Linked DNA regions of Oreochromis niloticus. The protein of the gene in region 1 interacts with the protein of each later gene in a biochemical or structural test. Links are inferred from orthologs where the notes say so. Each region holds a gene or a part of one and is shown on either strand. Other genes may lie near its edges. The genes, in order: snta1, slc6a3, scn4ab and potassium voltage-gated channel subfamily A member 4.

Region 1 (8,151 bases):
ACCTCTGGAGCTGTTGCCCTTAGCAGAGTAGGGGAGGGAAGCAAAGATGCTTGGAGGATGGCAGGAGAAGGCAGAAGGATGCAGGGGGACGTTGAAACTAATCAGTAGGGCTCCCCAACTGTCCACTGTCTTTGGGGAGTTGAGATATGCATATATGTGACTGACTGAACTAAGGGTGTAGAGAAGATAAGTTGGGGGGTTGTAGTCTGTTTGTCTGTTTGAGTGTGTGTACATCCATCCATTCATTTTCTTAACCGTTTATCCAACTATGGACATGGGAAGGGGGCTGCATTCTGTCCCAGCTGGCGTTGGGTAAGAGGCAGAGTACCCCCTTTAGGGGTTATAAGTTATGTGGAAATAATGCTTTAAGTTCTTAATTTGATTTCATTTATTTAACATAAATACAATACATATTCTAGTGTTTTAAGCAATTATCAAATTGAAATATATAAAAAATAATAGATAAAAATAATGATCTAGCAATTTTCACATGTGTTCTGTATATACAAATTGTGTTTTTACTTTGTTGTCATTATTATTCAAAAGTATTTTCTTATTACTTAAACAACAACAAGAGATACAATAGTAGTCTGATGTTGTTGAGAAGTGCTATAGGGTCATGTGAGTTGTCTTCAGCATAGCAGAAAACCAGTCTGCCTTGACTTAGACAGAAATGATGTTTATAGATTGTTAACATGTTAAACTTTTATTCAACTTACATTTAGTCATATATATTTATATAATAGTTCTTTTTTATTAAATTATGTTAGCGAAGATAAAATTAAATACATGGTCAACTTTTGTTTTTTAATGTATCATATAGTCATTTTAAGCATTTAAATAAGGTTTTTTAATATTTAAATGAAAATCTTGTATTTTATATCCTTTATTCGATCATTCTTGATTTTTACATGCAAGCCCAATATAACTGCACTGCTATTAGGTTGATCAGCAATGACATATATTCATGCAACGCACTCTGTTAGTGCAAATCATCATTCACCATTTTGGTTGTTTTTCCTGTACACTACAGAAAACAGATTTAATTTCAGGTCCTTGACTTCTTGCTGACTTAAGCTCTAGTGTAATTTGACGGTGCTCAGTATTGGTTAAATCCTGCAAGGACAATGGTGAAATATGATGTCATCCTACACTACTGTAAATGCAAGCACACTTGCAAACAAGTCACTACTTTAATGTGCACAGTTTCAATACTATATATGACTAGATCCACTCCAAACAATGCAACCAGTTTTGTGTTTTGTGTGTGAGAGATCCTTACAAATCCTGCTCTTCCATTCAGCTAAGCTTTGCAAATATATTAAGCTGTGCTACTGTGAAAGAAAGGCTGGCCTCCTGCCACTCACATCCCAAATAGACCAACAGATGCATAGACTGGGGGTCAGATGGTCAAACACTTGTCATAATGCTAAACATCACCATGTAGACCCACTTCTTAAGTCAAGCACTGTTGTTGAAGTCTCCCATTCATTTTTGCTGTGCTATTTATATGTGTGCTTCTATACATGTGCTAATTAGTACAAGGAAGTATCCTTTTCTAAACAAAAGTGTGGACAAAGGAGGATAAGGTTTATGGGTGGAATGAGAAAATGTGACAATAAACTTCACATAAATCATTTGTTTCATTAATTATGTTAAATGTAGCAATGGTAACTGAACCTCAAACCACACTGGCTGTATATAAAAGATGGGTACCCAGCTGTTGGTGGACTATATCATTTAGGGACCTTGGGTTGTTTAAAAACAACAACAACAAAAAATGCAAACAAGGAAACAACACTTTTAGACAAGAGCTCAAAGGTGGGTAATTTTTAGCTAATGCCAGCACCAACTAGTTTGGTTAGGCAGGTGGATCTGTAATTCATTGTGATTTTGAATGGGCTGCTAATTTTAGATATTGAAAAACAGGTTTAAAATATACTTACTGGAGAAACTGAATAGCCATTTCCTTTAGGCGACATGTTTATTGTTTTGGGGTTTTTCCGCCTTCTAGAACAGGAAGATTGGGATGACAGTCTTACATACCCTGCACACATGAGCTGGAACAGAACCAAACCCAGGCCTCTGAGCTGAGGGTAGACTTTTCTACATGGGGTACACACTCTGACAGGTGAGCTACAGGTGCTGTTCTTTTGTGCGCCGGTAGGTTGAACAGAACAGGACACTGCCGCTTGGCTACAACAAGCTCCGATACTAATATGTTCACATTGTACACTTGCCACAGAGTGGTTTCATCATAGTTGTGTCTTTTTTATTTTAAAACAGTTGCTTGCTGTTGCTGAAAACAACAGGGTTGATGTGAAAGCTGAGTTTGTATCACTTATTTGGAAGCACAGGAATCATCTGACTTCACTTTAAATTTGAAAATCCACATTTTTAACTGCAAGACTGTGTTCCCCATCACATCTATATAATATTAATGGTCACTATGCCAATAAAAACAAGCTCCATCTTGTATGTTGATAAACAGTATAATTATTGTATCTTTAGTATTTCCAAGTAAACCCTTTGTCTTTACTTTAAAGTGTCACCCTGGGCAACTGAAATGTCCAAATAATACTTGTGATTGGGCTGCACAGCTGGGGTCCAATATTTGTTTATATTGTCAAAATCTCTTCTTTTTTTTGCTCTTTGAGTACCATGTGCCTACAAATCCATGAATACTAATAGACATATGGTTGGATATGAGCTAAATAATCAAAGGGTATGTAATCCTGGGACAGGCTGTGGTTGTTTAATATCAGTTAATGACACAGTAATTGCATTTTAACCTTATACATATGGCCTATACTTTATAACTGCAAAATGTTTTTTCTTTAACAAGACTAGCAAAAAGTCAGAAATAGTTTCTCTTAATTCAGCTGTTTTTACTGTTTACTTATTTCTATCACAGTGAAAACCTCATCACATAACAATCAAAAGATGTTCCTAGATTTTTTTTTAAAGTACTGTATATGACATGTAGGAAATCTTTGTTATTTAAACAGATTAGGTACTAGTCAAATGTTTTCCAGTGTAGAGGTAATAGAGCCCTTTAATCACTAGAGGGAGACAAAAGATTTGAATCTAGGCTTTGGAATTCCCTGTTGAATATTTAGTGTGAAGCTGATCCATGGTCTATGACTTAAAAAACAAGTTGTTAGAAATAAAGTTGTTACATCAATATTCACTACAGTAAACATGAACCAATTAGAATAAAGTAAGCGTTGATATTTGAGTTGATTAGCTACTTTAGAATGATAAAGAAATGTTGTTGACAGATGAGCATATTTAGAGCATCTGAATGGGTTTAGAGCAATTTTCAGTCAAAGCTCCAAACTTGTTTTCATTAAGGGAGCAACTGCCTCTCAACAGCCCACCCAGAAGAGTGTTTTCCAACCCTGAGTGCTGGGACTTCTTTGCTATTTCACCTGCTGTGAAGCAGATGCAACACAGGCTGCCACACACACAGCTGAAGGGCTGACAGATACCTTGCCGATGCAACAGAGCATAGGAAATGAGGACTGCTTCATCAGCTTGTTTCAGTGACTCCTGCATGATCTTAATGTCTATGCTGCACAATTAAGTGCACCTCTGCTGAGTCACCACAACAGTGCAGTACTTATCCATGTTGAGTTTCTGTCAAGACCGAGACTGAACGGCTTGGCTTATTACTCCTGAAATCATGGCATATTAGGAAATAATTCAAAATAGTTATTGCATGTTTTTTTTTCACATTTTTCATTAAATATTTACGACTGACTACTAAATGAAAAAAGTGATAGCCAGAGTAGCAGATTTCTGCAAATTGCAACAGAAATTGAAAGAACTGCTTAACAGTTTGAACTGAAGAAATAAGGAAGGAAATAAAATAAAAATGAAGAATAATTTAGTTTGAACTGGAAATTTAAACTGGAAAATTCTGGACTGAATATAATTGTAACTTGGGGTAAGAATGAAAAGAACTGAAATTCCACTTACTGGCACTAATCTTCAGCATACGCAGGACTGTGTTTTTGGTTTTTAATGGAAACACCATGAGTTTGCATTTTTGGCAGTAGCCCCGGTGGAATCAGTTTACTAATCTAAACCACGATTCTACCTTCTATCTGCTGAAATTTTCAAACACAAACAACAAATTTTTCACGTATTTTTTAAGCCCATTTCTTCACTGCCATGGAATTCCCAGTCTGGGAGATGAGGTCGTTTGGTCTTGGTCTGTATCCAGCATTGATTCATCCTTTGCGATGCTCAAACACCTCATTTGGTACCTACTGGAGAAGAGCTTTGGGGTAATCATGCTTTGTACAACATCATATTGGTCACGTGTCTGCTTTTAACAACATTTTATTGGATACTGATCAGCTTTAACTATGCCCCAGCTGCTGCAACAGGGCATCAGTGTCATGGTACTGATGGGCATTTATGGCCTCTTTCAGTGCCTGTTGTCCTGAAACCCATTTTGAATAAAAGCCAATAAATATCATTGTTCTGATTAACGTGCAGGCTTCTTCATGGTAACATCACACCCACTGTTTTCTGTCAGCAGAATTCAAGCCGAAGATGCTTAGTGGGTGTCATTCCCGATATAAGCTCTCTTCACTAAAAATGCATTTCTGGCCTTGAAAGCATGTCGATGTTGTTTTCCTTATTGCAGAACTTATGCATATATACATATATATATATGCGCAGTGATTTTGCGCGTTTTGGGCACACTGGAAATGAGATCTGTGATGTGAGGCTGGGTGTTGAAATACACTCGAAATAAATAAATAAATAAATGAATGAATCAAAACTTAATTATGCGTGACTCAACCTCACATTGGTGATTAACGGATGGGCTGAACAAGAAGCTCTTTGAACTTTGAGTGTGTGTCAACACCGTTGCTAATCGCATCGCCCTCGATTAACTTTACTTAGCCTACTACTGGATAAACCTCTTTTGGAGGAGGAGAAAATAGAGGGAGGGAGGGAGGGAGGGGGGCTCAATGTGTGTGTCTGCATGCCCCCTACCACAGCCCTCTACCCCCTCTTACAGGACTGCCAGCCCGTCTAGAGTTATTCCAGGAATGCGTTGAACATGGCTGCCGCGACGAAGGCGCAGAAAACGGGACTGCTGGAACTTCGAGTGACCGTGGACCGCTGGATCCGGGTACTGGCTACACTTACCGAAGATAGTCTCACGTTAAACCCCGGTGAGGGCACCGAAGAACCCGCGAAGCCAAACCCGAGTCCCGCTGGTGCTATTAACGGAGACCCCCCGAACCTCAGCTCGTCCCCGGTCCCGGAAACCATCACCAACGTGAAGCGCACGGTGCGAGTTACCAAGCAAGATGTTGGCGGGCTCGGAATCAGTATCAAAGGTAAGGTAGTTTACGAAAGTATCTTAAAGATAGCTAACTGCATGAACGGCGAGTTACTGTCAGTTAACACAAGTTTTGACTACAGCGTACCTTCTGTCACCGACCACGAAAACAGCGGCCAGTTAACTTGGCTAACTTCAAAAATGTGCAACAATTCTCAGAAACGTGCGTAAAATGCAACTTTTCCGCGATTTGCTCTATGACAAATATCCGTTCGTGTTATAACTCACACGTTTAGGTCCGATGTTAGCGCAGAAAAACGACAGCTGTGATTTTCTCAAGCTGTTTCTCTGCTCAACAGGGAACCATTTCAGTGCACCACAGTCACCGGAGACGGTAATTAGTTCGCTACTGTCATGTAACGTTGGGTTCCACCGTGTGCCCCCAAACAAACACAAAAAATAAACACTAGTTTAAATAATTTAGATAACTGAATTCAGAGAAATCAGGAAATGGCACGTGATTCTGTTTAACTCGATTTGGGTTTTAAAAAGTTTCCACAAATCCCCGAATACTTTCCGTAGATGCTTATTACCCAGCAGTGTCGACACCAGCAGTTCATTTAAACATATTTATTTATGGACTACAGACACCAAACAAAGCAGGTTTTAAACCTGAATATTATGCGTTATCAACCAACATTATTAGTTTTATTAGATCTAACTTCTGATTATGAAGCTGTAACACCAATAAAAATATGTGACAGAGTTAAATCCCGGCTCTACAGAGTATTTTAGGTGGTTCAAAGACCTTTTTGGCTGTTGAACTTTGCCTTTGAATGAGCAAACGGGAGTAGACATGGACACAGAGACCTCTACTACACATAGTGGCCACAAGAATATTGTTTCTACAGGGACTTCTCAATGAAGAAAGGTTGTAATCTCTCCATATCTTACCAGCCAAGCCTGCATACCTGCCGTGTGTTTTGCAGCAGCTGATAAAAGACTTTTCCTTGTCCTGCTTCCACGAAAATAGCCTATCTCTGTGGGGATCTCAAACTGAAGATGACTAGGAAGGTTGAGCAGTGGTGCTATGTAAATATAAAAGATAAAACGGACAGGAATGTGATAACAAAGTTTTAGGAATGTTTTGGATTTTATTATATTTTATAGACGGACAAATATCACAGCTTTTGTTCTTGAAATTTAGTAGTGACTGATAGATTTACACTTTTTCTTTTTACACAGCTTGCTTTGTGTCTTTATATTGTCTTTATAATTGAATCTAGAATATGGTCATTTTCATATTCTTGCCACACACAGTGGGGTTCCGCCTCCTTGGCTTTAACTAGAATTGCTTGAGGTTATTGTGGTGAACTTATGATTCTGTTGTGCAACTTAAATAAACACTGTTTGAATTTTTAATAAACAACTGACACAGAAAGATTTGTTGCAGACTGATGTATTTTATACTGTGTTTCTTATTTTGCTTGGGTTGTGATAAATGCAAATGCAGACCCCACAATTCTCGCCTAAAAAGTCAGCTTTTTAAATTCAGATTTTCCTGGTGGGTTGTAAATATGTACTGGAAGAGTTTTCCTAGAATTACATATAAAAATAAAAATCTAATTAGGTTTCTTGCACAGTCTCAATAAATCTCATTATATTTTTAATCATAACCCCTGTGTGATGACATGTATCATATCAATGAATTATTGTCAGTTCACAACCCTAAGTCACCTTGTGTTGTAAAGCATGGACTGCCAAGGCAGTAAAAGGTGTAATAAATAACAGGCATGGATCTATAAGCAGCATGTGTGGGTATAATTGCATGTGTGTGAGCTGTAGTTTCCTCCTGGCAAGTTTGTCTTCCCAGGTAATCACTTGGCGATTGGTTGATGCACAGTGTCGATTTGATAGATAATTGTAAACTTGCATTATTGTCATGTTGCAAAGATGGCTCATCATTGTAGCTGCTGGTGACATCTTAATTTTTAGTCCCCCCCCCCCCCGCAATTCCCACCAACGACAAAACAAAGCCAAGCCCTAATGACATAATTGTGATGTCCATCTGTGGAAATGGGTGGGTTTGAAAATCAGACAGCATGTTATTAAAACCAAATCATAGCTAGAAGCCTTTTGGCTTGACATTGTTGTGATGCTGGATGTTCAGAGGCAGTTTTGGGAGGAAGGGTGTACAAGATTGAAAGTGAAAGGTGCAGGCAGAAAGAGCAGGCCAAACAAGAAATGGTATATGGGACAAGAGGTCAAAGAGGTCAAAAGAGTAAAAAGAAAAAAGAAGCAGGAAGAAAAAAGTGTCAGAAACGCAGCGGGAAACAAATGAAAGAACAGAGAAAAACTTGTATGCTAGTTGACACCGCATTGCGAACAGCTGAGAGAAGCAGCTCACAGCAGTCAGTTGTCATTGGCTAAAGATGAAAGCTATGTGGCTGGGAGTGGAGTACTCCACTAGTGTTAATTTTAGGGAGCCCACCCCAGCTTGAGGAAGAGTACGGAGGCAACTTTAACTCACATGTCTAAATTTAAGAGGGGAGGCATGGAATCTAGACTCCAGGTCTCTGGACAGGCCGAATGGTAAAAGTTTGCGTGTCTCTGCAGACATTTTTCCTTCTTCGGAGCCACTGAGGTGCACGGTCTGTGCATATAACCACAATGACAGTCAGAGGGATTGCTACTTTGAGAGAAGGCAGTTGGTGAACAGTGCCATGAAACAATTATTTCACTTTTAAACCATCCCAGACATTGTTTTAATAGTCCCTATGGGTTGAATTCCACTTGGGTGGGCCAAATATTATGAAACCATGTTTTGGTTCCTGAAGCTCTTATAA
Region 2 (7,592 bases), on another chromosome or scaffold:
CATGTTTGTTTCTCCATTAGTGTATGTTTGGATGGCATTTCTCCTGAACTGCGCTTTGCTTAACGGTGTGTTGAAAAGTACCCAGAACAAGCGTCAGCCAGTGTTACCTGCCACTGGGTGACACAAAAGGATGCGGACAATCAGAATAAAAGTCTAAAAGCCCAATTTTCATTTGCTTTCCATGTGAGTGCCAGCAGAACCTGATGTTCCGGGGAGGATAAACAATGCCTGTCGCTGCTCAGCTCAGAGACAAGCAGACAAAAGAGACTGGCATGTGGACAGGCAGGCATGTGGGCAGACAAGCAGACAGAAAGACACGTAGAGATTAAAGGGAGAATGTTAGCAGACAGACAGCCATGTAGGCAGATGGACATACAGAAAAATGCAACTCGTCCCATGATACATTTCTTATATTCCTAAGAGGGTGTGCGAATATCCTTGAGTGTTTGCATATGTGAGTAAGTGTCTGTCACATTTGATTTTACCTTCACACATTTTCCTACCTTTAAATATGGGACATATCTTCCAGACTCCTGCTGCCCCCTCTCTGTTATACTGACCCAGAGCCAGCTCCATGTAGAAGAGAGGCATGCCTGCTATCACCATGAAAAACAGGTACGGCACCAGAAATGCACCTACACACACACACACACACACACACACACACACACACACACACACACACACACACACACACACACACACACACACACACACACACACACACACACACACAGACACACACACACAATTTTAAAAATAAATACATTTATTTACTTATGTCTTGCAGACATGTTCACACCTGTAAATGTCAACGCAGATTATGAAAATGTAGTATTTAGTATTTTAAAATTTTTCTTTCCACGTTAAACTGCCACTGTATGATTGACAGGTTCCTTTTACCCTCTTTACTCCAATAATTGACTATTCTCATAAAATGAAAACACAATTTTCAAAAGAGGGGGCTCATATATAAAAGTGTAGTTTGTCTTTGAAGATAAAGTTTATGCCTCTGACAGAACATTTGTCATATTTCCTTACATACATATTAGACTTAGCGACGTGAAAGGCTGTGTGTTAGCCTTGACCATAGCTGCAGTATCATTTACAGCTCTTAAACATAATGAGAGCTCTATGTTAAACAGCCATAATTAGTGACACTGATTGTTAGAGCTAATCTATTCAGAACAGCTGTGGTGGTTTTTCCCCTATTTTGATCTCTGTAAAGGGTTGAAATAAGACGAAAACAGCGGCCATCATACACACAGATCTGAAGCACACACAAATATGTGCATGTAGTACATGCATGCATAAAGTACTCTAGCCTGTAACTAATTCCTCCTTTTCTCCCCCTTCTTCTCTCTCTGTTTCATTAGTTTTCTTATTTGCCTTTGCTTTCAACATAGTCACCATGTTTATGCCCTCCTACCCCTCTCAATGTGGCAGACTAATCCCCCGGACTGGGGCAAAAAAAAAGAAAGAAAGAAAGGAAAAAAAAACACAGCTTCCTCACGTCAGTCTCTTCATCAGTCTCACCTCCTCCATTTTTGTAGCAGAGATAAGGGAACCTCCAGACATTTGCCAGATCCACAGCAAATCCGATCACCGACAGGAGGAAGTCAATTTTCTTTCCCCAGGTCTCCCTCTCTTCCTCCCCACTGGGGTTAGTCTGAGTCGGAGTTGGAGTCACTAAGGTGGTCGATGTGAACTGAACCCCATTTTGTTCCTTTACAAGTATCAGCTCCACCTGAAGGGTCACCAAGTTTAAAATCAACCATGCATAACACAGAATGGAATATTACAAACACCTTAAAACATGTTATTCATGGTGATGTATTAGAAAATGTACTGTAAAATACTATTATTTGTACTATTTTTACCATTTTTGTCATTCTTTAAAAAAAAGCATCATATTTTATAATACTAATCTTTACACTGCACTTACCAGGCATTCATGTTATGCACTACCAGTTAGGGTTTTTTGTTTTTTTTAAATGTCTTTTCCACTATATAGTTTAGTACAATACAAAGACTGACAAAGATAAGAGAGCAAATGCAGTCATTTCATAAACTGAGACCTTTGCACAGTAACAGCACTGCGTGTCTTAGATGTGTACCGACCTCTTTTGGACCCATCGTGTTGGAGGTGGGTTTTTCTGGGGCTACAACTGAGGACATCACGGTGTAAAATGGTAATAGGTGAAATCTCGGTAGGTAAAGCTGACGAGTCTTGAGCACAAAATAAGACAGAAAAAAAGGAAGGTTTTTTTTATATTCCGTTTGTGAAGAATAAGGTTTTTGATGCAAGTATAAAAATCATCAAAAGGATCACTGGGATGAAAATTAAGGATTAAGAACAATATAATGAGACGCTTTTAAACACTGAAACTGTAGCATAAATATATATTTTTTTACAAAATTTAAATGCGGCATAAGAAAGAGAGAGAAAACACAACTGAGAGTGATTTGATTCAGACTGAGGGTAACAAGAAGGGATGGGGGAGCATGTCTACAAGGTCATCACAGCATGCTCATTTTATTTCACAAGTGCTTACAACCATTTTACTTGCAGAATGGCCTAGTATGGATGCACGCTATCTACCAACATGTTGTACTCCAGATTTAATTTTGGTTAAAAATTATTTCACAAAAATACTTTTTATGTGAAATAAAACACAATATTAGGCCCAAAATTGCCATTTTCATTTTTTTCTTTTTGTTTTTTTGTTTTTGTCTAAATCTTTTCAAAAGGATCAAATTATTGTAAATAAAATGCAAAAAATCCAAAATTTTTTTTTTTTTTACTAACAACATAGGATAAAACTTAATGCTATTAATACAGGGAAATACGGAGTTACAAAGCACAAAACATTTTAAACTACAAAATGAAATTCTTACCTTTTAGAAATAATAGCTGAACCCCGATGTCAGTTTGGATTTAATTCCAGTGCTGATGTTCTTTAGTGTGCTGTAAACTGATGCTGATCATATTTACGCAGACCCTCCTTGATAAGTTAGACTCAAAGCAAGAGACAAACAGAAGGCGGGAAAAGCTTTTTAAGATTAAGAGGAAAATATTAGATATAATTAAGAGAGAAAAAAATGAGGAACTGGCAATCTATGAGTTATAGAAAGCCCTCCCACCCTCCTTGGCTCCACTGACAGACACACAGAGCCCCGAGCACCCTGTGGGTTTGTATGGCGATCTGTCTGCGGGACCACTCTTGAAATATGAGAAACAATCAACGACACCCCCCCATCACCGTCACTCTCCTCCCTCCCTCCTCGTTCAAGCTTCATGTCTTCCTCCTCCTCTCTCACCCATCATATATCCATGTAAGTGTGAGGGGGGTAAAAAGCAAATACAATATTGCAACACTTATTCCCAGATGCATGCACCTTCAGCATCGTTATCATCCTCTTGATTCAGATACATTATAGCTGTATAACATAAGCACCTAATCTTTTCTGGCCCAAGGATAAGACAGCAGTGAGAGCTTAAAGCTTAAAGATTTATAAAATAAAGTACAATAAAAACATTTTAAAACATAAATAAATTAAAATATATAATTTTATTAATTACATTGAAAAGCCTTAATTTTGCATCTAACCTACAGCTGTATTGGTAAATGGACTGATTCTTATATAGCACTTTCCTGCTCTCCCAGAGAACTCAAAGCACTTAATACAACATGCCACATTCACCAGTTCACACTTTCTTTTATTCTTTCTATCCACTATTCACACCTTCATACTTCAATGGATGCATAGTTAGTATCTTGCCCAAGGATATTTGGAGACTGAAGGAAACAGGGATCAAACCACCAACCTTCCAATCAGTAGATGACCTGCTCTACCTCCTGAGCTACAGCCACCCTTTATATATGGTAGAGTGGTTGTGGTTAAAGCTGTTCATAGACTTTCCTGGTTTTATGTTCAGGGAACTCACCTTTAACAGCAATACAGTTGGCAGCAATTCATTGCAATCTCAATACCCAAGGGTGATAGAAGAAAGAGGGTGGGAGAAAAATAAGAAAACTATACAGCTCCTTCAACCTCCAAAATAAAACTATTCAGTTCATCTGAAATTAATTTGTAGTGGGTCTGAGGCATTATCACCATTATATGATTTGAATAAGCTGCCATAACAATAACAATTTTAACATATAATTAGTAAAAATGTATTTTAATTTGTCTTAAAAAATGTCTAAAAAACAAAAATAAATACGCAAAAAGGTTGGCTTGGCCGAATCAGCATGGGCACAGAATACCATTATGCAACGAACTGCAATGATTCAGTCTCTCAAAAATAAAATCTCTAACTTGGTTTCACCTGATATTCAAACTAGCTTATAACAATACCTGTGTCGTGGAGTAGCTAGCATTAGCGAAAACCCTCAAAAGAAATAAAACACTGGGAGCAGCAGCAAGAAAAGACAACCGTATATAATAATAATATGCATCAAACCCTATCCCACTTGAAATCAGTGTCAGTAGCACAAAGAACAACACACACACGCAAACAAAATACTAATTGAAATAAATGAAACTTTGGTTTGGGGCTTAATAGTAAGAAGCGGAGTTAGAAGTAAGGTGTTTTGGGAGGTTTTAAGAATTTTGTCTCTTATGTGTAAAACCCAGGGTAAACATCAAAGGTCTTTCTTAGTTGACCCCCCCTCTTCTACCTTTAAAAAGATCTCAGTGACCAAGTGACACACTGTGTCCAAGCAAAAATGTCATTACCTGTAATGTTCAACAGGCAAAACAGAATCAGCACTGACACTTAGACCCCTTCCATTTCAGATTTAACCACAGCAGGACCAGGGCATTGAATAACCCAATCAGCCTGCTCCCCTTGGACAGCCGTATGACTCATGTTTAGAATGGCAACTTGTTGTTTGCAAGCCAATCATGGTGATCAATTGTCCACCAACCCCAGCTCAACTGACACAATACACAACGCACACACCTTTAAAGTGCAATCATCCTTCAAGCCTCGTATCAGAAGTTGTTGGGTCGATGTAAGCCGTGCTGGAATTATGAGGTTTCCGACAGAGCTTGGACAACGATGAGTTGAACATAATCGAGTGTCTTGTTTTCATAAATGCAACAGCTGAGACCCAGAGAAGAAGGGTCCTGAGGAGGAGGAGGGGAGCAAGCAGGAGCAGAAGCTAGGCAAGGGTGAGGAAAGAATGGCAGACGAGGAAATGAAAGGCAATGCAAAAGGAAAAAAAAATGAGAAAAATGTTAAAATGAGAAGACTATACAGTATTACTAGCTGGTAACTACTACAACCTGAAGCTGTCCTTTTCATTCCAATGAGTTTTCTACTTTGAATAAGCAGTTAGATCTAGATGATGATTTGAGAGGGTTAGTAGAAGCACAAGTCCGCTTTTCTCCTTGTGAGCGCCGTCTGCTTGATCATGAAAGGAGGGAAAAAAGCAATACAGGAGAAGGAATGAGGACAAATTCTTAACCCATTGAGTCATGAGCATAAGCACTGATTTTAGACAATAAGAACATTCCTCCCCTCCACAGACTAACCTATTTAACCTCCTGAGCATCACAGTGGGGACTCCCGAAAGTCTAATTCAATAATAAATTATTTTTGAAACAGTTTTTTTACTCACTTGTGTTCTCTAATTGGGAAAATGCCATTAGCACTTTTCAGTTACATACAAAGCCTCTGGTAACTACAAAGTAACAATAATAAGTCTTACATACAGTTATTGAGCAATTGATTTCAACTGACTGAAGAGTCTACAGCCATGGTAATTGCTCAGGCAGTACATACACACTGAGGTTTTGTACTAAATGTTTATGCAAGCATGGTAGCATATTGTTGCTGGATGTTTTACACAATGGCAGAGTTTGAGAATTGCTTAGTATGTAGAGTTCTGTAGTTGAAACGGGGAACTTGATACATTAACACTAGAGGTCACACTATAGAGGCCTCCAAGTAACAACAGTGCATGGAAAATAAATTTAATTCATTGAATTACACACTCCTGGAACTAAAGGAAGTCAAGGGACGACCAGTATTGTTACCATTCATCCCCTGTGAACTTTGAATGTCTGTATGTAACCCATTATGTACATGTATAGTGTGTTACATGTACATAATTTATGACAAAACATTTCACTGTGGTTCAAAGTGGTGGAATTGGGTGAACAGAACAGACTGGTCACCTCTCTATAGACATTAAAGTATGTCTGACAAAAAAGTGAGGTGGAGGGAAATTAAATGGCTGAATATACTTGTGTAAATCATTTCATAAACATGACCTCAACTTACTGTAAGTCACATAATTTGCTAGATATTTAACTTAAATTTTACCATTATGGATTTCTCCTACCCCAGTCTCCGTCATGCAGCCTACTACACAGCTCAACATACTGGACTTGACTTTAAAAAAGAAAAAAGAAAAAAAGAAACACCGCATTTTCTCTGTGTTGCCTCAAGAGGGAGGCATTTATGCAATAACAGGTCAAGAAAATCGATGACTGTAGAACATGTGGCCTAACTACCTTTCTATCACCCTTATAATTCACGGTTATAGATGTAAGCCATACATGGAAGATTAAAACAATCTAAAAATTGATGCTGCAATTACACTTTTCTCAATATCTTTAACATGCAGTAAAGCTAAATTCATAATTACAAATAGAATTTTTTCACAGCAAAGGCTTTCTTGCACTGATGTAGAAGTCATTGCACCCCAACCTCACATAATAAAACCTATGTTACAGGATGACCCAATAACACTGTGACAGAGACAGGAGGAGTGTTGATGCTTCTTTAATTCCATCGGCGAGTCACATTAACAAGTTATATCATAGCAGTCCTGAACAAATTCAAAACTCTCAATCATCAAAATGCATTAACAAAATAAAAACAAAAACTTGTTCAGAAAGAAGTCTGAAGTAAAGCTACAGGAGAAAAGTAGTTTAGTTTCATGGTCCATATACAGTGAGCCATCAGAAAGATAATATCACTCTTTCAGAGTACACAAGTCTTTCGTCTTAGGCTCACTGTTGGATAAACTGTTTAAGCAGGCAGTAATAGCATACAAGTTCTCTCATAGGTTTACATTTTCTCAGACTGATACAAAGTCAGGGGGAAAAAAAAAAAAAAAAAAAAAACTGCCTCTACTGAGGTACCTGAAATGAAAATATGTGAGTGGAGGGAGACAAAAAAGTCACGAAAGGAAATTGAAATAGTATTTTCATATAGCCCCAATGCAGAATTGTTCTGAATATAAATACTGACTATATAAAAAGCACATCTTTGACTTGAATACATATCATAGTACATCATCTTCCTCTGACCGTCCAGTGGAGCTTTCCATTTAAAGTAAAACTGCAGGAGGGGTTCATGTGGCTCAATAAATCGCATTCTCTGTCAGGTGCTGAAATATTGATTTTCTGTTTCAGCCGTAATTCAAAATAAGATTCCCCATTTATATACAAAAACAGTATGGTTTCAAACATACAGAGTGAACTGTTAACTGTGCATTAGAAAAATCACATCACTAAGAAGTAGATTTAATACTTATCCATTTCACGGTGCAAACAGGTTTAAGTCATTCAAA
Region 3 (7,211 bases), on another chromosome or scaffold:
ACATAACATTGCAATGGTCTTGTAAATTGGTCTGTTTCTCCCAAAAAAAAAAAAAAAAAAAAAAAAAACCATTTCAACTTACCTTAGTATAAGAACCTGAACCATAATATCTCCTGAGATGACAGGAATTCTGGTTTTAAAGGTCATGACCTCTAAATAGAGGACGATAATTTTGCCACCTGTGGGAAAATAGATATTAAAAACAGCAGTAAGATCATCGTAAATAATTTGATGATTAATAACAAGCATAGTTGAAATATAAATCATATTATATGAATGTACATAGTTTGTGGAATCTATTTAGTCACTGCCTCCCCCCTAGGCATGATTTGCTTAACAATCACACTGTATATAAGAGCACTGTAAACTGATTTTCTGTAGGAAGGGGAGATGGTATAGGATTTAAATATAAAAAAATAGATTTCTTTTTTTCCCCCCCTCTTTTTTCAGATGAAACGGGGGTAAAAGAAGTATATAATGTGTTTATATTTCTAATATATAATGAAATAAAGTCAACTAAAAGACCCACTAAGAGATATGGTAGAGAACAAAAGTCATATAGTACAGAGGATGCAGGAGTAATGGGGTGGAGACCTACGGACCTCTGTTTGCCAGTGCACTTTAACCATAGATATGGAATAACGAAAGCTCAAATTCCTAATCCCTAACTCACCATGGTTGGATGGACTTCAGACTGGACCCTGGTGTGTTATGGCAGACGCCGTGGACAATCCGGGGTCCAGGCGCCTTACCGAGGGATGGCCCGTGCACCGCCCGCCTCCAATTGGAGGAGGGGCCCAAACTCTCATCCTAACCATTTTTTGGGGGGTTAATTCCTCTAAATACATAAATAAATAAATAAATATTTGATTACAATAAACAACAATGTATTATTACATATCACAAATTATGTACAACAAACAACAAATGGGGAATTGGGACATATTGGGGATCAAAACTTTATTAAAACCATTAAAAACATGACATTTGATTTATGACCCCTTTAATCACTTCATAATTTACAGTTAAAACACAACAACAGTCATTAAAATCACACACTTTATTAAAACCCTTAAAAACACAATATTGCTTAAATATACAAACCCCAAAATCATAAAAACATAATTCGGTGACTAAACATACTCATTCAAGTTTAAAATTATAAATATATTTCTCTGCAAAACCTAAAAAATTCATAAAAACCTAATTGGATTAAAACATACAACTACAAATTTCTAAATCTTATATACATCACTTCAAAAACATAAAATTCTTAAAAATTGACATAATTTACAAAATACATTTCATAAAATACAATTTCATTACAAAGGTTAAAAAACACACATTCACTGTAGTCTAAAACCATCACAGACATTTGAAAACACATTGCCAAATCCAAAATTCAAAAACTCACGTACACGAAACCAAGCCTATAAAAGGCTGCACAGCAGAGAGGAGCTCATTTGGGAGCTGACCGTTGAAGAGACAACATCTCTCTCTCTGTGCATTCCCAGCTTAAAATTCATTGTGCCCCAGCCTGAGGAAGACCTATCTTGGGTCGAAACGTCGCGGCAGTGGGCACAGTAATTCATTGATTTTCACTTATTAAAAATTAAAAAACTTTATTAATTTCATTTATTTTTTATTTTTATTTAAAAACACAAATTTCATTTACGTTTTTTCTTTTTTCTCGCCTTTGTTTGTGATTGTAAATTCATATACACATTTTCATATCTAACTGACATAAATAGCACAGCAAAACAATTATTAAATAAAGATAACAAAGGCGACATCAAGAGACACAGAAAACAAAAAATTAAAAATTCAAGACATGGGGTCCCGGATGGACTCGGAGGGCTGGACGGTGGTGCGTCACGGGAGAGGGCGGCTGCCTTCCCGTAGACGTGTCCAGCAGGGGACAAGCGGCAGAGGCAGAGGGATGGACAGAGCACCGTCTGGACCCTTCAGGGACCGGACTCAATTCCACATCCCTAACCCTAACCCCCCTAACCCTTATTTCTTTAAAATTTAAGTTAAAACTTACAAATTTAAGTCAAAAATTTAATTTAAATTTTGGTAGGAAAACCAATTAAAAAGCACACGCCTCCATCCAACTCACCATGGTTGGATGGACTTCAGACTGGACCCTGGTGCGTTATGGCAGACGCCGTGGACAATCCGGGGTCCAGGCACCTTACCGAGGGATGGCCCGTGCACCGCCCGCCTCCAATTGGAGGAGGGGCCCAAACTTTCATCCTAACCCCTAACCCTAACTAATGTAGAAAGACCTCATTAAAGCTATAATTTTAACACAAACATTTATACAAAATGCTAATGGAGCCATCACAGCTTTTATTGTTATTTATCAAGTTCCAAAAAATATTGATCACAGCTGATCTGAAAAGAATTTCATACCTCAGGCCCTTGAACTGCAACCTTTACAATGGTTCAGATCTGGAGAAGAAATAACAGGGGCATGGGATGGGTCACTAAAGAAAAATTAACTTATAAAACAGTTTTGTTTTTAAAAGTATAACAGTTCACATACCACATACAAGCTCAGCAGTACCACATACACCACATCAGGTAAAGGCAGGATCTGAAATTTATACAGTAAAACAAGAAATTCATTACTTAATTTCAAGAAGCAAATTATTGATTGTATTACAACTAAATAAAATACTACTCAGAAGAAAAGCAAGAGATTGACACTGCCATGTTCTAACTTTCTATAGAAGCAATTATCACCAGGTCTGTCGACTTCCATTGTCTTCCCACTCATATGTTGTGAATAATTTTATTTAAAAAAGTAAGTGTGTGATTTAACAAACTGTAATTTATAACTATGCTGATGTGTATAACTCCGCTAGGAAACATGCTGTATTTACAGACCATTTTTACATAATACAAATTACTGATAGAGCATAACAATGGTGTCACAGTGGCTTTCGCCCTCGACTTTTTGGATTTTAAATGTCACTTTATGCTATCCTTGCTATCCTATTCGATATTTATGACTCTCGGATTACAGTAAAGGAATCCCAAGAAAGTAAATGAAAAAATAACCCCATGAACCCCTGTAGCTAATCCCTTAAAAAAACCAAAAACAATAAAAATGTTTCTTACACAGTCCACAAAATAAGCATGTCCAGGACCCAGTAAAACTAATGTATGGCCTGCATTTGTATAGCGCTTTACTCAGTCCCTAAGGACCCCAAAGCGCTTTACACTACATTCAGTCATTCACCCATTCACGCACTGTAGAACAAGCGCACGCAAACGATATAACATGTCTTATAAGACAAACGCAAAATATAACCATGCTCGACATGTAGATACTACAAAACATAGTCAAAGAAAAAAGTGGTCTTACCTCTCAAAGAAACAGCAGCTTGGCGCCAAAACAACGTTTTTAAGTTAAATTTGAAGTCTTGCGAATGAGCAGGCCCAAGCCGTGAAACATTGTTGTTCTTCGCGGTTTCATTACAACTGTTTTTGCATTACTGCCACCTAGTGGATATACAAAGTATATTGATCCTAATTGACTTAACTTAAATGTTATGCCATCAAGTAACACATTAGTATTATGTACAGTGAATAATAGACACAATTACGTAGACTTGATTAGAAAAACATATGTTAACTTAACAAAAAAATATATTTTAAGTAAAATGAAAATAAACAATTAATATACACTGAACAATCCACCTCATTCATTTTTTTGAGTGTATGGACAGTTTCATTTATTTCTATGCATGTATTTAAAATGAGTTTGTGATCACGTGACCCAGACTCTGTGCTGCTGCAGGACTTTCAATTCCTCTCATGGCTGCATAAAACCTTTTTATGACTGTTGTGATAAAAACTTAGCACTACGTTGAATCTAACTTATCCTTGGTGAGATTCTGCTTTCAAGAGACATTTTAGATTTAAGCTCCTCGGTTGTCATGTCTCAAATGGGAATACATGCCATATATCATGCAGCTTTAAAAACAAATCTATTTTTGACCAATTAATCTGTTGATCTTACTAAATGTCTCTTTTATTATTTTAAATGAGGGGTTGATAATTTTATGTTGTCAGAAAGGAATTTCTAAAGTTCTGATGGGAACTGATGAACATGTGGCTTTGTGTGTGTGAGTGTGTGCTGACACACTACCTGACCTCTCAAGTTTCAGTAAGAGACGTAGAGTAAGGCAAGGCCAGAAGACGTGAGACAGAGAGAGAGATACGGACAGGCAGCATGGTGCTGTGACCGATGTTTACTGGATTTATTGTGGAAGAAACAGCAGAAGCAGGTGAGGCTGAACTTTATGCTTTCAGACGTGAAGTGAAACATAAGATTTTATAGATTTTATATATTTTATATTTTATAGGTTCTGTTGACCTTTCGTTTGTTTATGGAGCAGTTTTTTGTAATAATTAAAGAGACATTTTCATCTGATAGTCTGAATAACTTTTCCTAAAAATGTCTAAAGTTACAATTTTCACCAAAGATTCAAAGTGCTTTGGATTCTGATTTAAATGTAAGAACAACATTTCATGCTTTAGTTTTCACTTTGAAACAACCGATCCTCCTTATTGTCCTGCTTCTCAGTACACAGTGTGTGTGTGTGTGTGTGTGTGTGTGTGTGTGTGTCTTACACCTGTTGCGTTGCTGTTAACCTGATACCCTCTGTCATCATATCTGCACATCATCAGACACTTTTTAGCTTAAATGAAACAAAATATCAAAGTAAATCAAAAGTAGACTCACTTTAATCAAACTGCTCTTCTTTTTTGCAAAGATGGTGGTTAAAAAAACAAACCAAAAACACAGAGAATCAGTCATTTAATCTTTCCAGGCAGGTTTGGACTTTTGAATTCCCTCTATAGTGACCAGCCTCTCTACTTGAAACTTGTGTTAAAGCCTCACAGGAATGTTCAGCTGAGTGGGCTGTGCTTGCAGGTTTGGCGTGTTTGCTACCTGAGTGTCTGTAAGATCGAGTTATGAGGATGAACTCTGATTGTTTCACTTCATGCTTTTGCTGCTAGAAATATAAAAAGGTAAAATAAATTTGTCTTGTTGCCATGGTTTTATGACGTGTCAAGAAAGATGCTTGAGGGAATGATAGCGTAAGATGACATTAGTTCACAGTTTAAACAAGCAGGAGCGTCTGAAGTGTCTGACGCAGAGACCGTGGAGTCTGATTTTTTTCTGGACCTTCTTATTTACTGCCCAATGTGTAAGTCTGAGAAACCAGAGCTGCTTCTTTAACATCTTTCTGGCAGATGGTGTCGTTGATCTCGTGTATCAGTGAGTTTCACACTGCAGCAGCACCTTGTGATTATGGAGGTTAGCATTACTATGCTACATTATCCACGCTAAATGCGACTCAGACTTTAATAGTTGTAAAGAGGGTTGGGTTTTATAAGACGGAGCACTGACTGGGTTTAGAGTTTAAGGTAAGCCAGCAGACATTATTTATAGGCCAGCTGACTGTAGTGAAGAAGCTGATCAGGGATCAGATATTAACAACTGCTGGGACCAACTACTGCTGCTTTCTAATATAGCTCTGTGTGGTTGCAGCCAAGCTGAGCACTAACAGAGGAGGGTCACACCAAAAGGTTAAGAGTCTGCCACAGGAAATGGCGTTGAGCTGGTCACATTAGCACTATTAGTGTCAGATCAGGATGCTATGTTTGCTATAAGATGAGGTGGCAGCTTCTGACCAGGAAACATTTCATTTAAATTGAAGATCACATATCCGGTTGCTAAAACGTGCTTTGCTTCAGAACCGACAGGTGTGACAGCTTAATCACGTGTGCTAGCAGCTTCTAACCTCACCTCACAGGCCTGTACTCTATACATAAATTATGCTGCTGCCCGTGTTGGGTAGGTTAAGTCAGCAGGCACTTATGCTGAAGACAAGAGATCCTACATGTAAAACCACCATTTATTGACCAATCAGATCTCTCCATTACTTAAGCTCTCTCAGAGCTCACATTGCCAGAGGTTTTGAGGTCTTTGTTTTTATTGGTTGAGTATGAATATGAGAGACTATCAGTTACTGAGCTGCTCGGTTGTGTATGCTACTCTGCAATTTCATAAACCTGCTCACCATGCTGGTATGTTGTCATTTAGTTGGATTTGTCTGGGAGTACAGATTGTTCTTAACTCTACAGCCATCCATGTTCGTGATTGGTGAAAATTAAAATCCTTTTAGTGAAAAGCTAGAGAACCTGGATTGGCTGCCTGAGATGATAAATCATCATCATGTGACGCCCAAACAGATTCTTCCTTTTGTCTCCCACTGAGTGACATGTTCACATTAGGTCCCAAAGATTTCATCACATCTGCTGCATGATTGTAGACACAACAAGCCCAAATCCCTGCTGACAGATTTGGAATTTTTGAGTTTCGTCTGCTACCACGACATTCTTTTGAACAATAAATGCCCCAGGCTTTGTAAATAAGAATGCAACAGATTTATCCAAGTGTAATCCAGATTTAGGTCCCCAGGAAAACCCACGACAGCCTAAAGAAGAGCCTGTCATGCTCCAGAGTATTCTCATTCCCAACACATAACCCTGTCAGATGTGTTTTCCAAAGGGCTTCATGATCAATATGTAAAAGACATTTACATGTATAGTTTAATTCCATCTGGATCTCATGCCTGCGAACGCGTAGCATACCGGCGATTTGTCGCATGTCGGTATGTTACGTGTTGGGATGAGAACGCGTTGCATGGTCATGGGTAAAAGGAACCCAGTGTTTGTGTGTCTTGCTTTGAATGTTCTTGGATTTAGTTAGTCTCCCTGTGTTGCTTGTGTCTCGCCCAGTGAGGTATGTTCTCATGCCTGTTCTTTCCCAGTCCCTATGGCAAGTCCGTGTCTCAGCGTGTGTCTCGTGTTTCCTGTTTTACAGTGGCTTGCAAAAGTATTCGGCCCCATTGAACTTTTCCACATTTTGTCACATTACAGCCACAAATATGAATCAATTTGATTGGAATTCCACGTGAAAGACCAATATAAAGTGGTGTACATGTGAGAAGTGGAACGAAAATCATACATGATTCCAAACATTTTTTACAAATAAATAACTGCAAAGTGGGGTGTGCGTAATTATTCAGCCCCCTGAGTCAATGCTTTGTAGAACCACCTTTTGCTGCAATTACAGCTGCCAGTCTTTTAGGGTATGTCTCTACCAGCTTTGCACACCTACAGACTGA
Region 4 (7,426 bases), on another chromosome or scaffold:
AACAAGTAAACAAGTAAAACGATCTTTTGATGTGCAGCAAAGCAGGGAGTAAATTCTGCAGCACTTAGAATCATCATGCGATCATACTTACTATTTAGTTTTGCAGAAACACAGTTCCTGGTGTTAGATCTTTCCAAATATTTGGCACAAATTCGCAGCAATCTGACTTATGTCACCCTATTAGTTTTGCAGTTATTGGTTTTGCATATGACACTTGAACACAGCTTAAATGTTGTACAGCAGAAACATCAACTGGCCACATGAAGACTGGAAAAATGTGCGCCACATTCCTCCAGCGTCTACAGGGCTTTACGCACGCGCATTCACGCGTGGTTCTGTTGTCAAAGAAACACGGGAGTGTTTGAAAATAAAAGTGAGGGTGTCGTGCTCGGAATAAAAGTGTTTATCTCGAGATGGGACCTTGTTTAGTGGCATATATTTTCCATTAAAAACGTGACTGGAGCTGTTTTGATCATTACAAGGTTGTTTAAAAAAAAATCATTTTCACACACAAGCTGTGGGCCACATACCTTGGAAGACATCCACATCATGACGATCCTCCGAGCTCGCAGATAATCGCAGTCCTCTTGGGGGGGTGAGGCGGGGTGGGGGGGAAAGGAATTGTGCACGAAGTCCAGCAGACAGGAGAGAAAATTGCTCGCAAGCTCCCCTCCAATGAGTTTCCACGATGAGTCATTTTTGCTTTAACTTTCCATCTGCCTCCTTGTAAAGGGATATTGTCATTTTGAGGTGCTTTAAATGAAACTGGGGAAAACTGCTGTCACCGAGGTTCCAACAAGCATGTCCATACAAAACCTGGGGCGAGTCATTTCTCCAGCCATTTTATAAACTGATAATTCCTGTGCTTAGCTCTCGCAGTGGGTCAGCAATACAAGGCTTTTTTTTTTTTCTTTTGGCCTGTTGTGGAAAAACATAGTTGTGTAGGTGTCATAGAAATAACTGTAGCCCTGGTTTACTAAATGCTGTCTTATCAGTTAGCTTTTCTTTAATGTTAAATACTGGAACAGTTACAAAAGACTTATCCGTATTTTCGTTTCCAATTTTTTCTTTTTTCTTTACTTTTACTGGCAGCATATAAAGGGGATTATTAATATCCTTAGTCTGCTCTCTGTGAGGAAGTTGTTCAAACATTCTTTAGCGAAGTGGTCAGAGGATTACTAAATACGCGCCACTTTCATGGCCTACAGCTTCTGTCTCTGAATACAAATCTGCCAAAACCCAGCGCAAAAAAAAAAAAATCTACATTAGTGCAAACAGATTTTGAACTTTATTGCATAACAGCAAAAACGATCCCTATACCTCTCTGTTATTGACAGATGAAACTCATAAAGTGCGAATGCATAGCCTGTCTTCACTAGAATTTCAATTTGATGTCAGATTTGGAAGCCCGCACAGCTTAGATGAACAAATAGACTGGTGTGTGGTGAAGATGGTTTGGGGGAAAGGCTGCTGTTAGAGAAGTGCGCGATGGTTAAAAACAGGGGAAAGAGAGAGATGAAGCATAACAGCCTGCCAATCAGTGGCATGAACGTGTGTGTGTGTGTGTGAGTGTGAGTGTGTGTGTGTGTGTGTCTGAGGCGTGTTTCAAACTTGTGTTGGGGAAGTGTGAGCGGGAGGGGGTCACCTGCTGTTGGGCAGAAATGATGTTTAGAATTATCTTTATAGGGCGTGTTCTTCTTCTTCAGGAAAAATAATTAATAATAATAAACTCTAATTGTAATCACACGTCAGTCTGAATGGATTTTGAGTTAGTACTGTTTTTTCTGCTTATGTCTGTGCCGTTTCCTTTACTGGGGCTCTTGTCCAGCCCGCAAAGCGACTCCGTCACCCCCTCCTCCATTTCCATATACTCCGCTTTGTCGCCGAGCGAGGAGCCAGAGGGCGAGCCTTTGAATTTTCTTAGAAAGTCAGGGAAGTACGGGCAGCCCGGGGGCATGCTCTCCACCACCGGCGGCTGGTCCTCGTTATCGGTCTCCCTGTGATAAAAGTAGTTGAAGTTGGACACTATGACCGGCACCGGGAGCGCAATAGTTAACACGCCCGCGATCGCGCAGAGGGAGCCCACTATCTTCCCACCCACAGTGATGGGCTTCATGTCTCCGTAACCCACTGTGGTCATGGTCACTACGGCCCACCAGAACGCGTCCGGGATGCTCGTAAACTGCGAGGTGGGTTCATCCGCCTCAGCGAAGTACACCGCGCTGGAGAACAGGATGACACCTATGACCAGGAAGAAAATGAGGAGGGCCAGCTCCCTCATGCTGGCGCGCAGGGTGTGACCCAGGATCTGCAGCCCCTTAGAGTGCCTGGACAGCTTGAAGATGCGAAACACCCTGACGAGGCGGATTATTCTCAGGATGGCGAAACTCATCGCGTGCTGTCCGTTGCCCTGATGCTGCGCCAGGTCCGTGCCGAGAGTAATGAAATAAGGCAAAATGGAAACAATGTCTATGGAGTTCATAATGTTTTTAAAGAAGTAAGTTTTGCTCGGACTGGCAAAGAAGCGAACTATAATCTCAAACGAGAACCAGATGATGCAGACCGTTTCCACGACGAAAAACGGGTCGTTAAAAGGTGTAAATCCGTGATCGGGCTGAGAGGAGTTGTTTCGTGGCTGTAGATACTCTTTGTCATCCCTGAACTCCGGCAGCGTCTCCAGGCAGAAAATCACAATAGAAATGACAATAACAAGGACGGACACGACCGCGATCCCCCTGGCAGGGCTCGAGCTCTCCGGATACTCAAAGAGCAGCCAAATCTGGCGCTTGAACTCATCCTCCGGCAGAGGTTTCTCCTCCTCTTTGACGAAGCCCTCATCCTCCCGAAACTTTAGTATCGCCTCCTCCCCGAGTTCATAAAACTTGACCTCCTCGGAAAATATGTCAAATGGGACGTTGACTGGTCTTTTTAAGCGCCCGCCTGACTGGTAGTAGTAAAGAATGGCGTCAAAACTCGGTCGGTTCCGGTCGAAGAAGTATTCGTTCCTCAGCGGGTCGAAGTACCTGATCCTCTTGTCCGGATCTCCCAGGAGCGTGTCCGGGAACTGAGTGAGCGTCTTGAGCTGAGTTTCAAACTTCAGACCCGACACGTTGATGACAACTCTCTCGCAGCAGCCGCACTCGCTGTAAACGTTTTCATATCCGGACTGGGGCCGCCTGTCGGTGATCGACACGGTCTCCTCCTCATCATCCATGTTGCACAAAAAACTCGACCTTTTGCTCCCCCGGTCCCCCCCGCCCCCCTCCCCCCCTCCTCCTCTTCCTCGGCTCCTTCGGCCTCTTCCTCCTCTATCATGATGTCCTCCTCGGATCCGAGCAGAGCCAGCTCGGAGTGGCGCAGGTCCCCGCCGAGAGTGCCCCGGTTCCGTCTCCAGCGTCCGACGCCGCGCTGCTTTTTCCGCTCTCGCACAAATCTCTGCTGCTGCTCGGGCTCCTGCTGGTTCTGCTGCGAGGAGGAGGTGGAGGTGGTGGTGGTGGTGGTGGAGGTGAAGGAGGAGGAGGAGGGGCGCGAGGCGGTACCGCCGCTGCTGATGTTGGCGTTCGCGGAGGAGGCGGCGCGAGACTGATGCTGGCGGTTGTTAAGGAGATGAGCGCTCGAGGAGGTGTTGGAGGTGGACCCCCCGACGCCACCGCAGCTACCTCCTCCTCCTCCACCACCTCCCTCCGTGCACGTTCCACCTTCGGCAGCAGCCGCTGCGGCCGCCGCTCTGGTGTGGGCAACCTGGCGCTCCCTCTCGCGCTCCCTCTCCCGCGCGCGAGCCTGGGCATATCCGTAAGGCAGGTGGCTGTTGCACCCACCGTCCGCGCCCACCATGGCAAACTCCATTTTAAGTCAGTGAGCGCTTCGGTCCGCGGACGCTTACAGTAAGCGCTCGCGCGCTGTGATGTGGACGCAGACCAGAGGACAAAAGTTGCAGCTCAGCGCGCGCAGGGAGACAAAATGAGGCATGAAGCCTCTCGACCAATCAGTCGTGAATGCGAGAAAGTCAGAATAGCAAACACACCTCAAACGGGTCCATGCTGAGCGAATCCCATGTATCCTACTTACATGATACTGATTGCCATCTCTTCCAGTTTAGGTACAGCCCCCCCTTCCTCCGGTATTTCATGACATCATTACCATATCCAAAAAAAAGAAGAAGAAGAAAGAAGGAAAAAGATCAGATGTAAAGGCCGGTGGCATAGCCTGTTACGCAGACGCTCGGTCAAACTTGCAGCGCCCCTTATTTGCTCAGCATTGTAAATCACCAAGTCAACAAGCGACACCAAAACAGTCTCTCCTCTGTTTCTCCGGTGCCCATCAGGTGGTTAATTTCTCCGCGAGCCGGGTTTGCGCCCGAATGCGTCTTTTGATCCTCCCTGGTCACTCATGGTTGCCATTTTAGGATGAGTTTAAAAGAGAGAGAGAGAGGGGGAGAGATATCTCCGTTGTTATTTTACACAGCTCCGGTGAATCTGAATGACTTTATTCCTCTGACGCTCTCAGGAGCTGCGAGAACAAGAAGAGAGGAGAAAACAGCAGTTGGTTTAGGCAAATAAAAACAAAACCTTCATATCGATGTGTGTTGTTTTATCGAATACACAATCAAAATACATCATGCTTATTATCATCATCATTATTACTATGGAGTGAACACAAAGGGATATGGAAGACATTTATGGTTACAATACAATTTACGCATTAAAGTATCCTCCCTTTATTCTAACATCCATACTTACATCTGAAAGGGGGCCAAAACGACATCGCCTCAGTCCCCCTCCCCCGCCCCCCCTCTTCACAAACCAATCTGATGGAGGAAGCAGGGGAAGGAGAGGCTAGGTGAGGATGCAGTTGTTCACTCTCGCTCAAATCCCCGTTATGATTTTGGAGGGTAACGCCGCAAAATCCCTCGCTGTATCCACGCAGCGACCATATCCACATCCAGTACACACATCCGTGCTCTGACGCACTCTGGAGAGGACACTTTTTTTGGCTGCGTCTCGACGTCTTGTCTCAATTCAACAGGATCTATCGCCACTTCAGCCTCCGTTTCTGCTGCATCGCTTCTGGTTACGACGAGAGCAATAATGTTACCCCCTCCAGAGGAGAAAAAAAGAATGAGAAGAAGAGGAGGAAGTAGCAGGTGTGCGCGTAGCGAGTTGGCATCAATGACAGCTCCACACGAAGACAAGATACGAGGGTGGGTAAAAGTTTACCTTCGCACGGGCGAGGGGGGATGGCTTCATGGTTTAAGTCTGAGCATCGCACATCTGTCTGTCTGCCGCCGTATCCCTACCTATACTCCTGGATCCCTCCCATTGTGTGTGTCTGTGTGCGTGTGTGTGTCTGTGTGATGATGGAGAGTCTCGGTGAGAAAGTCGCTCGTGTACCGCAGCTCGTGCAGGCGGTGCTCGGTCCTCCCCCAGTGGATGCAGCCGGTCACTGCGCACCGTGCTGCAGTCTTTCACCCGAGCTTCATCTGCCCTTCATGGTCACTGCTGGGTAGCAACCGGTGTGTTTGTGTGTCCCCACCATAAAAAAAGTAATACATTAACCTAACATTTTAACTATTCATTTTGCAGTCACCAACCACTTTCCTACAAATTAATCGGTGTTTTTGTTGTTGTTTATTTTCTCATATTAAATCAGAAAATGCATACATCACTTATTTACATACGTCCATATATTGTAACTAAAAAAAAGTGTGAATTTAAAGCACTGGAAATACTTTTCATACAATTTCACTTCACCTAACAATCGTTTAACATTATTTTTTGTTAATATTATCACAGGAAAAAAGGTTAGCTCATGCAACAACAAAAAATGTTCACAGAGGCCACAAAAACAAATAATTCATGTTCGCTGTGCCCGCCCTCCCTCTGATATTTGATTAGGAGAGCACTCGAAACAGAATGCAAAGTGTTCATTAACCTCCTCTGACCCAGCGATTCATTCTTGTCCTCTGTTGGGGGGACACGAGTCTGAGACCTCCACGAGCACAATTCATGCAATCTATTTGAGTCTTACTCAAATTTACTGTCAAGGAGACATCTCAGGGTTTCAAGTTTCCACATGGGCTTTCTTTTCAAAATGACCATTTCTCATATAATTTTTTACTAAATTTGCAAGAATTTCAAGCAAACTTTTTTCATTTGGTCATTATGGGGTATCATGTGTAGAATTTTGAGGTGAGAAATGAATTGAACCCATTTGGGAATAAGGCTGTAACATGACAAACTGTGGAAAATGCAAAGAACTGTGAATACTGTCCATTACACAGTCAGTGTTCTGTGTAGTGGACAGGAGGACTTACTCATTCCTGTTTTCAACCCATATCCACACTTCAAGGAGCAAAGGAAGGATTGAGGCGGAAAGGACTTTACTCAGAATTGTAGAAGGGGAGTCAGACTTCGTGCTGTCCGGTGATGAGGTGGAGGAGGACCAGACAGAGCAGGAAGGTGAACGCTCAGTGGAGGACATGCCAGCCCTTGGACCCTGAGCAGGGGATAAAGTGAGGGCACCCACCATGCCATTATGATTAAGAAGCAATGTGTAACACATGGCTGTGAAGTTTTTTGGGGGGGTTTGTGACGCACACACACATAAATGTAGAGCACATAATCAGTTAAAATTATGGGTTAGTACAATTTCAGGTTAGGGCTTTGCTGTATTTGGTTAAACCTTCACACACATAGATGGGTTAAACAGGTTATTTACTCTGTTGATTTTTATGTTTAATAACATCCATCCATTGCTTATCCTTTTCAGGGTCGTGGGGGGTGCTGGAGCCTATCCCAGCTGTCATAGGGCGAGAGGCGGGGTACACTGGACTGGTCGCCAGTCTGTCTCAATGCTAACACACAGAGACAGACTGGCAACCTGTCCCACATTCACACCTATGGACAATTTAGATTGACCAATTAACCTATCCCCACTAACTGCATGTCTTTGGTCTGCGGGAAGAAGCCGGGGTACCCGGGGAGAACCCACACAAACACGGGGAGACCATGCAAACTCCGCACAGAAAGACCCCGGCCTGATGGTGGGATTGAACTCAGGACCTTCTTGCTGTGCAGCAACAGTGCGTGTCACCGTGCTGCCCATTATTTAATAACATGTAAGGCTAAAGACCATGAAACCGTACCTCTTCTTTTTTTGTTTGAAACTGATTTTAACATGAAACATGAAAACAGGAGTGCGCACACCCTGGAGGCCCTCTGATTACATCAAACAGTAAATAGGTGTTCATTCATGGCATGATGCCTTCAGGACTCAGATATACTGGGTCCCATTTATAGCCAGTTAAATAAGTCAAGACAGATTCTTTAAGATTAGGCAGTCGTTCAAAGTAAGAAATGATCTTGATGTTTTACTTCCTCCTGAGGCCCAAACAAGAAATTGTTTTGATACTGAGATTTTTAACCAC

What was found.
Region 2: the proteins of snta1 (region 1) and slc6a3 interact in a test that uses a peptide from one of them, tested with the Homo sapiens proteins (2 studies listed by BioGRID and IntAct). The link is inferred for Oreochromis niloticus from reciprocal best matches to the Homo sapiens genes SNTA1 and SLC6A3.
Region 3: the proteins of snta1 (region 1) and scn4ab interact in a test that uses a peptide from one of them, tested with the Homo sapiens proteins (2 studies listed by BioGRID and IntAct). The link is inferred for Oreochromis niloticus from reciprocal best matches to the Homo sapiens genes SNTA1 and SCN4A.
Region 4: the proteins of snta1 (region 1) and potassium voltage-gated channel subfamily A member 4 interact in a test that uses a peptide from one of them, tested with the Homo sapiens proteins (2 studies listed by BioGRID and IntAct). The link is inferred for Oreochromis niloticus from reciprocal best matches to the Homo sapiens genes SNTA1 and KCNA4.

Annotation. Positions count from the first base shown.
Region 1 is NC_031970.2:7,142,601-7,150,751, reverse strand, and holds the start of snta1 (alpha-1-syntrophin), read left to right. Parts: upstream 1-4,971; 5' UTR 4,972-5,080; coding exon 5,081-5,363; intron 5,364-8,151. UniProt on the Homo sapiens protein: Adapter protein that binds to and probably organizes the subcellular localization of a variety of membrane proteins. May link various receptors to the actin cytoskeleton and the extracellular matrix via the dystrophin glycoprotein complex.
Region 2 is NC_031976.2:9,278,943-9,286,534, forward strand, and holds the start of slc6a3 (sodium-dependent dopamine transporter), read right to left. Parts: upstream 3,214-7,592; 5' UTR 2,899-3,213; intron 2,230-2,898; 5' UTR 2,179-2,229; coding exon 2,122-2,178; intron 1,748-2,121; coding exon 1,537-1,747; intron 636-1,536; coding exon 504-635; intron 1-503. UniProt on the Homo sapiens protein: Mediates sodium- and chloride-dependent transport of dopamine. Also mediates sodium- and chloride-dependent transport of norepinephrine (also known as noradrenaline). Regulator of light-dependent retinal hyaloid vessel regression, downstream of OPN5 signaling.
Region 3 is NC_031969.2:35,485,885-35,493,095, reverse strand, and holds the start of scn4ab (sodium channel protein type 4 subunit alpha B), read left to right. Parts: upstream 1-4,153; 5' UTR 4,154-4,298; intron 4,299-7,211. UniProt on the Homo sapiens protein: Pore-forming subunit of Nav1.4, a voltage-gated sodium (Nav) channel that directly mediates the depolarizing phase of action potentials in excitable membranes.
Region 4 is NC_031965.2:10,260,017-10,267,442, reverse strand, and holds the start of potassium voltage-gated channel subfamily A member 4, read right to left. Parts: upstream 3,252-7,426; 5' UTR 3,215-3,251; coding exon 1,742-3,214; 3' UTR 531-1,741; intron 1-530. UniProt on the Homo sapiens protein: Voltage-gated potassium channel that mediates transmembrane potassium transport in excitable membranes. Forms tetrameric potassium-selective channels through which potassium ions pass in accordance with their electrochemical gradient.